3 linked regions of the Oryzias latipes genome follow. The protein of the gene in region 3 interacts with the protein of the main gene of each other region in a pairwise test. Links are inferred from orthologs where the notes say so. Each region holds a gene or a part of one and is shown on either strand. Other genes may lie near its edges.

Evidence for each region. The genes of interacting proteins can lie anywhere in the genome.
Region 1: the proteins of exoc1 (region 3) and ccdc88a interact in a two-hybrid assay, tested with the Homo sapiens proteins (2 studies listed by BioGRID and IntAct). The link is inferred for Oryzias latipes from reciprocal best matches to the Homo sapiens genes EXOC1 and CCDC88A.
Region 2: the proteins of exoc1 (region 3) and nup54 interact in binary tests that used the Homo sapiens proteins (3 or more experiments, as listed by UniProt). The link is inferred for Oryzias latipes from reciprocal best matches to the Homo sapiens genes EXOC1 and NUP54.

Annotation. Positions count from the first base shown.
Region 1 is NC_019873.2:15,835,097-15,839,601, reverse strand, and holds part of ccdc88a (girdin), read left to right. Parts: intron 1-179; coding exon 180-366; intron 367-447; coding exon 448-593; intron 594-731; coding exon 732-824; intron 825-901; coding exon 902-1,104; intron 1,105-1,282; coding exon 1,283-1,330; intron 1,331-3,608; coding exon 3,609-3,686; intron 3,687-4,505. UniProt on the Homo sapiens protein: Bifunctional modulator of guanine nucleotide-binding proteins (G proteins). Acts as a non-receptor guanine nucleotide exchange factor which binds to and activates guanine nucleotide-binding protein G(i) alpha subunits.
Region 2 is NC_019870.2:10,476,464-10,480,968, forward strand, and holds the end of nup54 (nucleoporin p54), read right to left. Parts: intron 4,458-4,505; coding exon 4,364-4,457; intron 3,384-4,363; coding exon 3,276-3,383; intron 2,155-3,275; coding exon 2,035-2,154; intron 1,291-2,034; coding exon 1,180-1,290; intron 1,101-1,179; coding exon 972-1,100; 3' UTR 628-971; downstream 1-627. UniProt on the Homo sapiens protein: Component of the nuclear pore complex, a complex required for the trafficking across the nuclear membrane.
Region 3 is NC_019862.2:72,156-77,316, forward strand, and holds the end of exoc1 (exocyst complex component 1), read right to left. Parts: intron 5,062-5,161; coding exon 5,017-5,061; intron 4,698-5,016; coding exon 4,534-4,697; intron 4,455-4,533; coding exon 4,341-4,454; intron 3,177-4,340; coding exon 3,100-3,176; intron 2,996-3,099; coding exon 2,767-2,995; intron 2,674-2,766; coding exon 2,490-2,673; intron 2,247-2,489; coding exon 2,047-2,246; intron 1,968-2,046; coding exon 1,773-1,967; intron 1,691-1,772; coding exon 1,538-1,690; 3' UTR 1,274-1,537; downstream 1-1,273. Other genes in the region: cep135 (centrosomal protein of 135 kDa), read right to left, coding at 1-52, 141-308, 382-572, 641-753.

The DNA.
Region 1 (4,505 bases), on a different chromosome or scaffold from region 3:
GAAATTAAAGAACTCCTCAACATCAAGACAATTCTATTTTTCCTTTACTAGAAAGTATCCTGTCTTTGGCTAGGACAATCCTCAAATCTAGAGATTTTCTCTTTTTGTGCACAGGAGGAAAATCTAAATCTAAAAATAAATGATCCTGCTGTCATTTGATAAAATGTCCCTCTTTTCAGATTGAATTCAAGCTATCGTCAGCTGTTGAAGGACAATGAGAATCTTCAGCTGGATCATAAGAGCATAAAAAGCCAGCTGAACAGTGCCAAACTGGAGCAAACCAAGCTGGAAGCTGAGTTCTCTAAACTGAAGGAGCAGTACCAGCAGCTGGACATCACCTCCACCAAGCTCACAAACCAGTGTGAAGTGAGTAGAGCATCATTTTCTTTCATGTTTCCATGAATTTTTTTTCCAGCCTCTAAAACAATCTTTTTTTTCTGATTTTAGTTACTAAGCCAACTCAAAGGAAACTTGGAGGAAGAAAACCGCCATCTGTTGGACCAAATCCAGACCCTCATGTTACAGAATCGCACACTTCTGGAACAAACGATGGAGAGCAAGGACCTGTTCCATGTTGAGCAAAGACAATACATGTAAATCCAGAGCAAAACTTTTTTTTTTGAATCTGTTTTAACAAAAAAAACTGTCTAAATGCATCACAAGAGAGATTTTGGTTTCAGGCGAAGAAACACAAATACTAAGATTTTGATTTCCTCTCTGAATTTTTTTAGCGACAAATTAAATGAGCTGAGGAGGCAAAAGGAGAAGCTAGAAGAGAAGATCATGGACCAATACAAATTTTATGACCCTTCACCACCACGCAGGTAACTGAGGGTTCCAAATGAAAAACAAACAGAAACGTGTCAACACAGTGTTTGAGATGACATGATTTTTCTTGTAGGCGTGGTAACTGGATCACTCTGAAGATGAAAAAGCTAATAAAGCCGAAGAGTCGGGAGAGGATGCGTTCCCTCACGCTGACTCCATCTCACTCAGAATGCGGTGACGGTTTCCTGACGCTTCCCATAGACAGCCAGGACAGCTCATCTATCGGCTCTGGCTCCAACTCGCTGGATGACACTCTGAAACAGAAAAGTAGCATCAGTGAGTACCAACTGCAGCTTTTGTTTAAAAGGCTGATTAAAAGGCTCCTCTGCACCCTTGAAACATCCAGGCTGTCAAACTGTCCTGCTTTAGTGGGTTTGTACAGTATATCTGAATGTTGACATGAGGCTTTTCCTTCCTAACTGCTCATTTGCTTCTTTATCTCTCTGCAAAAAAGGGAGGAGAGGGCAGCAGTCCCATGCCCAAGGGCAGGGTTCCTCCAATGGTATGCTGCGGATTGGGAGGGAGGGCGGGGCTTATGATCCGACTGTCATGTCTCTGGGGGCATGTTTTCGTGAGTCCATTGTCTGTGTCACTCGACAGTCATAGAGGTTACAGCTGAGCTGCGCAGAAAAACAAGGTTGACTGGTGAAATATCGCCTTGAACAGAATGGGTGCACTTGATTCCTGCTGTCGTATTTGTGTTCAAAGAATTGCTAAATAAGCAAATCACTGGTGTCAGTGAAAGTACACAACAGGTCCAAAGTTTTACAACAGTCCAGTGTTTTCAATTCCAGCTGGCAAGTGTGTAGAGTAATGTCTTAATGCACTCTAAAATGTTGGAAAAAGAAATGTGGGAATCAAGTTTTAGACCTAAGTCGGCTGTCTGCAACCTTTAATTCTAAAAGAGCCATTTGGTCTGTTTTTTTTTTTACAGACTATAGCTTTCAAAGATTTACAATACTTGAGTTATAATAGTTTTATGATTTTAATATTATTTTTGACAGCAGCCCTTCAAAATAAAATACACCCTTAGTCGAAAAGATCCTCCTGCCGCAGCAAAATTTACCTGAATTAAGAATACAAGAAAGCCAGATCAGACAGCATTTTCTATCATTATGGTGCACTGGCAATCCTTTTTTACCATTAAACATAAACTTGAAGATTTCTTTAAAAAAATTATAGGTTACGTGTAAATGCAATTAACTCGGCCTCTGAACAGCAGCTAGATTTTGTGCTTTAAGCTTATTTTGGTTATAAACCCCTCTGACTGCAGATTAAACCGATTACCATCATTTTGCTCTATCTGTTATCATAATTGATAACTCTAGGTGTATTTCTACCAGAGAACTGTAGGCTGGAGCCTTCTCTTCAAAGCTCAATCTGAGATCTGCTAACAAAGCTCACAGTTGAGCTGTGCTTGAAGCTTTCTCCTGTATTTGGCTCCCGCAGATGTTAACTCTCAGAAACTTGTCCTCTGATTCAGTTGGGACCTTGTTTATAGTGGTCAGTCTATCTTCCATTGCCTTTTTCTTGTCATTCTCAAACATTATTTTCAACTGTATGATATTGTTTAACTGAAGGTTAGGTACCACATTCTCTTTTGATATTGATATTTATTATGTTCAGCTTAATAATTAATAATCACGTGAATCAAGAGCACCCTGTGTGGTTCAAACATCAACTTCTACAGCTGTATTTCAGCCCCACATCTGTTTGAGTTATACCTTCAAAAGCTTAGAGGCCCTTATGAACTGACCTGTTGGTCTGTGCTGCTCACCTGTAAAACAGACATAAGTTACCATAGCATCATAGATATTAAATGGTGCAATTCATTGTGGCTCAGATTTAATCCTGACACAACAGGTTCTTCACATTCAGAGCTTCTTATGGGGTACTTAGAATTGCAGTTTTTTTTTAGTTTAGTTTAGTAGGTCGGCGTGCAAATGTACCACGAATCATTCCTAGCAGTCAATTAATGGCAGCATTAGCTGCAGTTTATTCTTTATGGTCCCCTCCCTCCCTATTGCACCCTTTAATACGGTTTGTCGTCCATGTCTCATCTAGGTTTCTTCATGTATGGTTATGTCGTTTGTAGTATGTCATTTATGAAACCAGTTTTAGGTGCGGTAAACAGATTTTAGAACCGCTACCCTAAGGAAAGTGTTGTGCCGATAGAATGTGAAAGTGTGTGTTCCCATAACATGCAACATGCTTTTGTTTTTGTTTTCTCCTCTTTTTGTTGACATGTTTTTGTATAATATTCATCTCTTCAGTATTTTTCCGCATTTACACTTAGTTAGTCAGAGGCTTTCCTGTTTATTTGAGAAACTTGCACAGAAATGTACAAATTGGTTTTTATTTTATTATTTTTTTAATCTTAGTTGTAAAATTTAATACACATGATGGGGACTTTAAGCCATTTAACTTCCCTCTAACTAAACAACATTTTATATCCGTTTTTCAGTATATTTCTTACCTTATTTTTAATAGAATATTAATAAAAGATAGAATTCCTATTACTGTACAGTTTTTAGGAAAGCCTAGTTAATGATCTGATCATCGGTCTGTATTGTCTGTTTAGTTGAGTGTCCAGAACTCAGCTTTTTTCTGCTCATGTCTTCCCTGGCCCCAAATGTGCTAACGTTAACCACATCCGTCTGTTCTGTCCTTCTTTTTCTATTTTTTTTCTTCTACTCCTCTACCTCCCCTGGGCTTGCTCTGTCACTCTCCCTCCCCCTGTCCGTCTCACTGTCCGTCTGTCTCTGGCGGCACTCTGACAGCTATAAAAAGGTTGCCTTTCATGAGGAACAGATCCAAGGACAAAGACAAGGTCAAGGCCATCTACCGGCGCTCCATGTGTAAGACCTCCGATAGCCGTCACGCTAGCCTTCCTCTCCCTCCTATTGTGGTGTGCTGCGAGAAACAAAGGAGGACGAAGCCGCTGATGTCAGGGCGGGAGCATTGTGGGATGATAACAGAGCAGCTCAGGTTTCCTTCCCAGCTGCTGTGACTGAACAGTTTGGTCAGAGTTTGTAGATTTCTCTTGTTTTGTTCCCCCACGCTGCTCCTGGTGACATCAGTTGCTTTTCCTCAACTCTTTCCTAGTAAAGACCACGCCTACATCACTTCCTCTGCCAAACGCATTATGCTCCACCCTTCCCTGTAGACCTATAAGCCTTCACCAATGAAATTCACTTCGTTGTCATAATGTATTGATAAAACATTTAAAAACAATCACATGTAGGTATAAGGGACATGGATGTGAGTCATGGTATTCTTTTTTGTGTTGTGTTGTCTTGTTTTTTTGCATTGTATCCAAAGCAAACTGTTTTGTCGCTACATGAATCAGCGTGCCGCTTGGTGTCATCTGTGGGGTCATTTTGTCTTTTTGAATGAATGAAAGGCTTTTTGAAGTTGTCAGGTTGGCTGTTCAGCTGAGATGGTAGGAGACACTGTGGTCCTGTCTTTCACAAGCCTGCAACAGTTTGCTTCCACTTTTGTTTTTGCAGCATGCCAAAAAAAAATGGAACCACAGCCATCGGCTTGTTTGTAACTCTCTCTCTCACGCACCATGAAGGACCTGAAATGGAGCCTTGGTTCTGTCTCTTCTCTTGCCGTCTTGCTTTGTCAGCGTGCTGCATTTCAGATCTTATTCTGCTGACATGGACTCACCTCGC
Region 2 (4,505 bases), on a different chromosome or scaffold from region 3:
TGTTCTAGTAAGTGAACCTTTTTGCAGTGGCTAAACTCTGTCTTTCAGATTTGCTTTTTATTAATACATTTGATTGAAAATTAAGTGCCTGATAGTTTTAAGTCAACAGGATGAAAAGGGAAAATCGCTTTACATAAAAAAAAGATTTATTAGAAAAAACTAAAAACAAAAATCACTGTATATGTTTTGACAAAAACCAATAAAAATCTCCATTTTTAAAAATTTCTCAATATTGTGCAGACTAACTGAATAAATTGGGTTTCGTTATTGTATTAAATTCTGCATTTCCTCCCACGTCTCTGGTTGGTAAAACCTGCAAACCGACTGTGGTGCAAACCCTTAAGATGCATGGGTGACCCGACTACATGTGGGGGTTCTAATCTGCTTGAAAGCTGCCTAACCAGTCCAGCTGCCAATCAGTCTTTTCATCCCTGCAGGGATGCAAAGCCTAAATGTAAATCCTATCAACTCAAGCCCTGCTTTGATGAGATATAGAAAAGTGGAAGTCTGCAGGTAAACAATGGTGTCAGGTGTACCATAGTTTAAATATAAGGTAAGCAGAAATGCAAGGAAGTAGATAAACATTTAGTTCATATTACAGCATCTAGTTACTACAAAAACAGACCATTAAAGGTTTAGAATTTAAATTTATTAGTATTCTAATAGTTAAAAAAAATACAAAGATGTATTTACATCTTGACACACTTAACACCTCTTTGTTTACAAAGCACTGGCAGTCACATGTGCATAATCTGATTGACGTGGCTATTATTAGACACTGATCATTCCATTGAGCTGTCTGTATCAATCCAGATTACGCAGTCGTTTTGCTGTACTGATTGGAAAGCCCGGGATTTTTTTTCTGCAACGAGCAAATCTGAAGATCGCAAAATAGAATGGTCTGGAAGAAAGATGTTCTGCTTTTCAAAATAAAGGGTCAGAGTGTGTGAAGAGGCTTTGAGAGGTTGGAATCAGCTCAGGATGCCCCCTCTCATGTGTCCACTGTCGCTCAGCCCATGCTCTATTAATTTGATGTCTTCCAGGTCATCTTTAATGACGCTGATCAGATGACTCAGACCTTCCTGCTGCTGCTTCAAGTGCTGCATGACGGAAAGAAGAAGACGCTTAGCGACAAATTATAGACAGTCGTACAAGCAAATGAGTGACAGGATCCCTCACTTGTTTGATTTCTCGGAGCAGGTCTGCATCCACACTGTAGCGCTCTTCTGACCTCACAGCTCCAAAGTGGTTCTGCATTCGGATTTGGGACATTAATTCATTCAGCCGACCCTTAATGAGAGGAGGGAAACAGTTATTGGTGGGTTTTCACAAAGGCAGTTTGATCTCCAACAGTACTTTAGATTTACAAACATGACAGACTTTACAAAAACGAAAAAGATTGGCAAAGACTTATTTCTTAAGAAATGAAATAATTGCTGTTTTTTAAGCTATTTAGACTCATCTACGTCCACGAAACCACCAAACAGCAGCAGATACGCAAAGATGGACTAAAATTATTCAAAGATTAATAACACGGGTTGTGTCCAAATTCCCTCACTACTCACCACTTGGTGCAATTTTTTGGGATTTTTGAATCTACAATTCCAAAATCAAGTGCCCTGGAAATTTCCAAGAAGTCTCTCCGAGAAACTAGTGTGCATCGCTGCTCACTAGATTGGCGAATATCGACCACAATGAACTGCATTTGAACAATTTTTCATTTAAAAAAAAAAAGTGTTTTACATTCATTTTGTATAAACCCTCAAAGTTTTTCTCATCAGAACACAGTGGATTCATAAAAAGTCTTTGTAAAATATCAATAGTTATTAAGTTTGCTGTTCAAAAAAATGCAGTAAGCATGTTAACTCCAGAACCATAGATAGCCCTTTAGTAGTTAGGGAGTAGTGAGGCAACATAGCTATTTCTATTGTCAAATGCAGCTTTATAAAGTTACAAATTTAGACCCATTTTGTCTACTTCCAGACCAAAGCCTTCAGTGAGAGTAGCTTCCTGCTCCAGTTTGCAGAGACTTGCCTTGAACTGTGTGGGGGCATTGAGTTCGGACTGAATGGTGTCCAGCTGCACTCGGAGATGCTCCTCGTCCACTTGGATTGCGTAGCCACTTTTCCTTTGAATCTCCTGTTTGATCAAAACCTTCCAGGAAAACATGGCAATGATACACAGGACAGTGTTGCCGAGCGGAGATAAATGCAAGCAGTGCCAAAACATTCAAATGTGATAGAATATACAGATGGGATTCATCAGTTTACTTGGAAGAATAGTACCGGACAACATTAAAACCTTCAGAGAGAAAGAATGTAGGACAGAGGGCCTCTGAGCCTCCACACAAACACTTCTCTCAGCTTTATGGAGATTTTGCCAGGAACGCCAGTTCAGTGGGATTTCACCTGATCATCAACAACAGCTGCAAGATTACAGACTTGAAGAAAGATTCATTATTCAGTCTCTGCAGCAGGTGAACAAAAAGTCCAAACAGCGGCTCTCATTTAAAAATCCATTTTCAACCCCTTCCACGCACTTTTTTATAGCTACGGTTTCTTATCAGAAAACATCACCTTTCTTAAGTCAAATTATAGGACTGCCCAAACAAACAAAAGTGTGATTTCCAGTATTAATAGAAAAAAAATCAGGAAAATGATTGGAAATTGGGCCTGATCATTTACAATCGCCACTCGCATTCCAAACAGGGATTGGATATTTATTTGAATCTTTTTATGATCAGTGGTATATGCTGCAGGCTCATTATTACAACGTAATACTCCATTAGAAGTCTTTATATCATGAAAGGATCCTGACATTGCCAGAAAGTGTATAGAATACGGCATTAGCTTGGGCAGGAGGTGCACAAAAACAGTTTGGTCAAGGTGGCGAGATAACCCCAGATTTGGACTTGCGAGATAAATACCTCGTATGAAAATCTTTTAAACTGACAGCAAGTGTCTTTACTAGCTTGTCTCAACTCTTCTTTGTCCATCTCAAGTTTTTATGTTTTGAATATATTCTCAAAAATCTTTGTTTTTTTCCTCGCAGGATAATGTCTGGACTTTCTGGCGATTCTTGCAAAAATGCAGCTCAGAGCAGATCAGCTGTTGAAAAGAACCAGCTCTGAGGTTTTTGATCTAAAGAACTTTTAAGGCACTTAAAAAAACAAAAACTCTAACAAGCTCTAAATAAAAGAATTACTGATACCGACAGTCTGATACAGACATCTCTGTAATTACAATTTAGTCTAATCTGATAAATGTGGACGCTACCTGCAGCACCCTGTGAGACAGATCCATCAGTTTCCTCTTGTATTGAGCGATTTTGGCCACGGTTGTAGCCTGGTTCTTCTGCAGTTCACTGATGTCATTCGATATAATCTGCAATTTCAAACAACAATGCACTGGATTTTTTGCGTTTTAATAGTTCTTAATGCTAAAAACTACCAGCATCACACCTGGAGTTCCTCTCAAAGTTTCTTCAAGCATAATAATAATTTGTTTTGTTTAGACCTGCACAATAAATAGCAAATTTGTCATTATAGTGATGTCAAGCTATGCAATATTCGTATAAAAAAAGATGGCAAAAATTCCAATAAATATTTACCTTAAATGTGCTACAACAATCTCATGCCAGCTTGAAGAATTTAATGGATCATAAAATGCCTTTTTGCATTTGACCAATCAGAAGTACTCCTTTACATAATTAACCAATCGCATGGAGCCCTTTTAAGTTAGATGTTTGCCTCCCATGTAGACGAGGGTCATTGGAAGAATAATTTAAGTTATGTTGACTCTTATTTAAATTAAACTGTAGCAGTGAAATGGAAATTCTGTACTTAGTTGTTTCGCAATTTCTTCATGCATCGCAAATTATATCGTCATCGCAATGTTGATCAATAATATCACAAATCATGAGTTTTCCTCATATTGTGCAGTCCTAGTTTTGTTCCACCAAGTTGTATCAGTTTTTAAATGATTCGAATTACATTATTAAACTTCTTTTTATAATAATATTGGATTATCTTCCAATCCAAAACTAATCTGTAAATAATGACTCCATTTAAAATCACCATATTTAGGGTGGTTAACTGAATAGTTAAAAGCATTATTCTAAAGCTAGTGTGTACACGTTTTATGAAATACATTGTCAATTTTGAACCCCCCGGTGAAAACACCTGCAGCTGTATTTGTAAAAATAACTTCAAAATAAAAAACAAACAGTTGGCAGCGAGCGCGAACATCTGCGCTCGGGCCTTGACCACAGTTTCAGAATTCCTGCGTTGATATCAGATGGTTTTGTGCACCGGTACTTCTAAAACGGCAACCAAGAGCCACAAACTATTTTTCATCTCACTCACATCCACTCTGGTCTGGTGCTGTTTGGTCATCTGTTCCTGGATCTGCAACCTGCGCAGCAGCTCTTTAAATCCAACCATGGGCACTGGGAATAACCTGAAAGAAGAGACGAACGTCTGGAAATTACTTCTTAACTGACCAAAA
Region 3 (5,161 bases):
TCATCGACCTGCATTTTCTGTCGTCTGAAAGGGATGCTGCGCTTCTTCCCTCCTGGGAGGGCGTGGGGGGAGAGACCAGAAACCAAAGTCAGAAATGACTATCAGAACACATCAGTGCACCACAGGCTGCTGTCCGTTACCTGGTGTCTGCACAACAGCCTGCAAGTTCTTCTCCTGCAGCTGCTGGATGCGATCCACTTTGGCCTTACCATCCTTCTCCAAACACCGAACCTTGTGCACGTACTGGTTGTTTAGAAACTTCAGGTCCAATGTTTCATGGTCCAGTCTCCTGATGTGAGCTTTGAGCTCTGAGAAGATGGGATTGAGAGGAGTTAAACCAGCAGTCATGTTTCAGTGTTGGGATGAGGACCTGCTGTTCACCTCTGGTGACTCGATCCTTCTCCTCCCTTAGTTTGAGGAGATCGAGGTGCAGCTTGTTGTTCTCCCGGACCACCCTGGCGTTCTCCGCTCTGTAGGGCTCCAGCAGAGCATCCACGCTCCTGCTCTCCTCCTCAGTCTTTCCAGCTGATGATTTGGCATTGCGTAAGCTCTCGGTGGTGTGGACCAGATCACTGAACAACAGAGCATGCGTCACGTGTGGCTTGGGGTTAATGGACACAGATGGAGGAGAGGGCTTCACCTGAACAGTTTATCCACCAGAGGCAAGGACTCGATTCCGACCGGCTGTCGGTAGCCCAGCTGATCCAGACGTTTCCGTAAATTAACGAACTTCCTCTCTGCGCTGCTGTTCATGGCTGCATGAAGAAGACGGGATTCATTCGAAAACCTCAAACTAAGCTAGTGGACATCCTAAAAACAAAGTTTTTTTGTTTTAATAAGTAAATAAGCTACCGCATTTTTTTTAAAAAGCCACTTGCTTTTAAACCAAGGAGAAACACAATGAAGTTTACAGGTTACCTTCACCTTGTTTGTTAGAAAGCGAGTGTCCACTCTGGTGGCTAATGTTAGCTAGCAACGTAAACCATCCACAATTCAAACATCCAGGTTAACTGCGTCGATAACTAGTTCCATCCTCAGTTCATGAATCGATGTAAACTTCCCAGCCAGTTTGAAGAATTCGGTGTTTCCGCGGTAAAGCGGTTTAAAAAGAGCGCCGTCGTTTTCGCATTCGTCACCATGTAATTCAAAAGGGCATGGAAACCGCTTGTTTTGTCATTCGGCATTGCCCGCGGGGGCGGGTTAGTGACAACCCATACACTCAGAACTTTCACGCTGATTTGCTGACGATTAAAACAAACATGTATCCAGTGGCGACGCTTCACTTGTAAAATTTATTATATACTAAGTGATATACAGGAACGGGACAAACAGTTTCATGTGAAGCAGAAGCTTTTAAACGTGGAAAAAACAGGCGAGATAAGAAAATGCAGTATCTCCACCACAGTCCAGTCTACAATTTCTTTTAAAGACAGAATGAAATATTCATGCTTGTATAAGAAAGCACCAGTTTTTAAGTTGCTCTTGTATTTCTAGCCAGTGAGTGGCAGTAGTTACTCATTAATGGACAGCAGCAAAACTAATGTGACTGAGCAATGCTGGAGAAGTACTCCAGCACATCCTGGATGGTGAACTCCATGGTGATCCCAGATCCAGGGTAGCATCTGCCAATCAAATCCTCAAAGTGCTTGTACTGACGGATGAACTCATCTTGCATGGAATGCCACACCACCTGATGAAATTAATCAAAAAGTCTTTTGGAGTCACGAAGAGAAAACATGCCAACTACAAGTTGGATCTCATAGCGTTCTGACCTGGAGTAAACTTTCTTCTTCACATAGATGTTTATCCACCTTCTTGTAAAGGTTATCCAGGCCTTTCTTCACCTCTTTCCCAGGATACTCTTTGATGACTTTGCGCAGCTCTTGCTTGTTAAATGCCAGCTGGTAGCTCACCTCGTCCTCACGAACGCCCTGAGCAACGCGGGATTCAACCCCCTCAAAGAAATGCTGCAAATCAACCATAAAGATACCCTCAGATAACACACTTTTGACCATCAGAACCTGTGATGAGGAAAATTCTTCATACGTTGAGTTTTTCCAGAGGTTGGCCCAGCGAGTTGATCACATAGGACTGCAGATGGTCAGTGTATTTATGCTTTGCCTCTCGTTTCTCTGCATCCAAGCAGGAGATCTTCAGACGGGACAGAGTGGAAAAAATGTGGTGGAAATTTTCCATCATCACAACATCCCGCGGCGTCTTCTGGCTCTCATTTGCCACCTTTTCCACTAAAAGAGAACCACATGATGTCACTTGCAGCTCACTTGCTTTTGTCTGTTTAAAGCTATGTTCACGCAGTCCTCTGCAATCCACGTTCAAGCAACCACTTTCAATGGAAAGTCTATGTAAACACGAGTAAATGCGCGTTTCGGGGTTCTGCGTTAACGCACATTCAAGAATGCGCATTTAGTGCATTCAAGAATGCATGTCACATGCCTGGTGTGAAAGTAGCATCAGACTAGCGGTCTCACCGTTCACAAAGACAGCCTTGATCAGCTTGACATAAGCCTTATCCAGGTCGCCTCTGCGCTCTGCGTTTCGAAAGATGGTCTCAGCAAGCTCTGCAAACTCTTCAAAAGCTGTAACAAATGGGAGGATGCCCACTTTGGTTTTCTTAGGAATCTTCACCTCCTCCATCTGTCTTATTTGACCCAGCTGCATATGAGAACATATTCAAACTTATAACAATTTATTGTAAAACAAAATGCAAGCAGTAGGAATATAGAAAAATAAGTCGACCCCACTCACTATGCATTTGTCAAAGTTCCTCTTGACAGTGACCAGCACGTTTCCCAGGGTGGTGCTGAGAAAAGAGGCAGGGTCCACGTTCTCCGCCGTCCACACATGGTGACTCATCTTCACCAGCATATACAGAGAATGGAAGCTGTCAATCTTGTCGCCCAGAGCGATGAGGCTGTTCAGCTCTGTCTCAATGCTTTGGAAGATTTTATTCATCATCAGCCGCACCATGTCCTTCCTTCAGTCAAAAAAGCAAGTGAACAAGTACTGTGAGCACAGTTGAAATTTTACAGCAGGTCAAATTGACATCAGAGACGTTGGTAGCAAAGGGAAAGCACTGACTCTGATGATGAGTGTCTGTGATCGTTCTGTGGGGGGATTCTTGATGCTGTGCTTCCGTCTAACTCCTCTGTCTCAGGCTGATGCAACAAATAAACATGAGGGCAAATCCTAGTCTCTAATAAAGCAGATTAACATATTAAGTTGAAACTAGGGATGTCTGGGTCAAGTTTTTTTGGCCCCAATTCGATTTTGAGTCTTTGATTTTGAGTACCTGCCGATTGAGTCCAAATCAGATACTTTTGTAACACATTAAAAAAATGAACAAATTTAATAAGCAGATCCAGGTTTCCCACTATTTTTAATTGTATTACCCTTATTTTATAACCTAACACCTAAACAGAACAGTTATATGAAATAAAGTGAACAATCAAGTAAAGAAAAATCAACTAGAAAAATGGTTAACTATTTAACTTATTAAAGTGGGTGAGATTTAGTAATGTAAGAAGGTTTTGTGACTGTAGCTTTAAGATCTTCACAACTATTAAATATTTTTGATCAGATATGATTCATATCTTCATTAAAAAAAATTTAAAATGAATTTTGACTTTCTCTCAAAATCATTTAGCATGGAAAAGATGATGAGTTTTCATAACTAGCTCCTATCAATGGAACTGTTTATTAGTTTTGGTTGTTTTTGAAGGATTTGGGATTTTTCTGTTTAATTATTTTTTTCCTGGAGCTTGCACTTTGGAGACGATCCCTTGGCAGCCGTCTTACTGCTGTCTTTCGGCAGAATGGAGAGCAATTCTCATTAAAAAGAAACAAAAACCCAATCTTTTCTCTTTTGAAATGCTTTTGTAGGTTGTTTAAGTTAAGGCCAATCCATAGGAACACTTGCCGTCAGTTTAAATCATAAATTAAAAAAGTTATTGAGCCTGGAAGTCTGAATCTGTGAATATCTTGCCAACTTTACTGAACATTTTGAGCGTTTACTGCTCAAACTAGTGTCATATAAGGTGGACGGGAGAACGAATACAGGGAGCTTGTGGATGAATTTGTGAGATGGGCTTGGAATAAATCACCTGCTGCTCAGTGTGGACAAGAGCACAGAGATTGTGATTGACTTCAGAAAGAATCGACCAGCTTCCCAGCCTAATATGAATTAAATATTCTAATCCCTAATCGGGATCAGATTCCGATCGAGTCTAAAACCACATGATCAGGCCCAATATCCAATCAAATGATCGACTTTAGACATCCCTAGTTGAAACTGTTTTAGTAATATATGATAACTGATGTACCTGTGCAAGAGGGGGCATAACCGTTTGGTGCTGCTGAAGTTTAAAGAACTTGCTGATGAAGTCCTGCTCTGCCAGACACAGTGGCTCCAGCTCACTGAGGACCTGCTCAAATATCTGCACAGACGAACAAGCCCACACTTATTCTTCTGATTACAACAAAAATTTTCTAATTCTGCTTTTAACGCTATGTTGCCTTGTCAAACTTGGTCCTGTCTGCCACATCCAGATCCGACGCAGACATGTTGCCCATATCCAGCAGCGAGGAAGACTGGGAACGCCGGCTGTTGGAGCCCTGCACTGTAAGCTTGTTCAGACTCGAGGTGGAACCCGTCAGCTTCCCAGAGCTGCCATGCAGGCCTGACGTGGCACAGCAGAGATCAAACATGAGCATCAGTATGACAGGAGCATAATTCAAACTACACAGGAATTTAAGTCACTGCATGTTTAGTTCTGAAAAAATTCAAAATAAAGTTGATGTAAACCGTTTGCTTTTTTGGTGTTTAATGTGGAATGAAATGAAATGATCAGCTTTACATCAAACACAAAAAAAAAAACAGTTATAAGTAATGACTTATGCAGCAATGTATTAGAGCAAAGACGAAATTTCAAAACAAATTTGAGCAAAGGAATGAGAAACAGTGAGTAACTGACAGCTGGATCCAAGCGTTGTACTTACTTTCTGGTTCCTGTTTGAGCGTGCTCTCTTTCCGCGGAAGCGTGGCTACAGCCAGTTAGAAATGCAGGCATCAAAGACAGACACAAGTTAGCTTTAAACATGCAGCATGGAGGAGAGGAAGACAGATATTAGACGCAACACATGC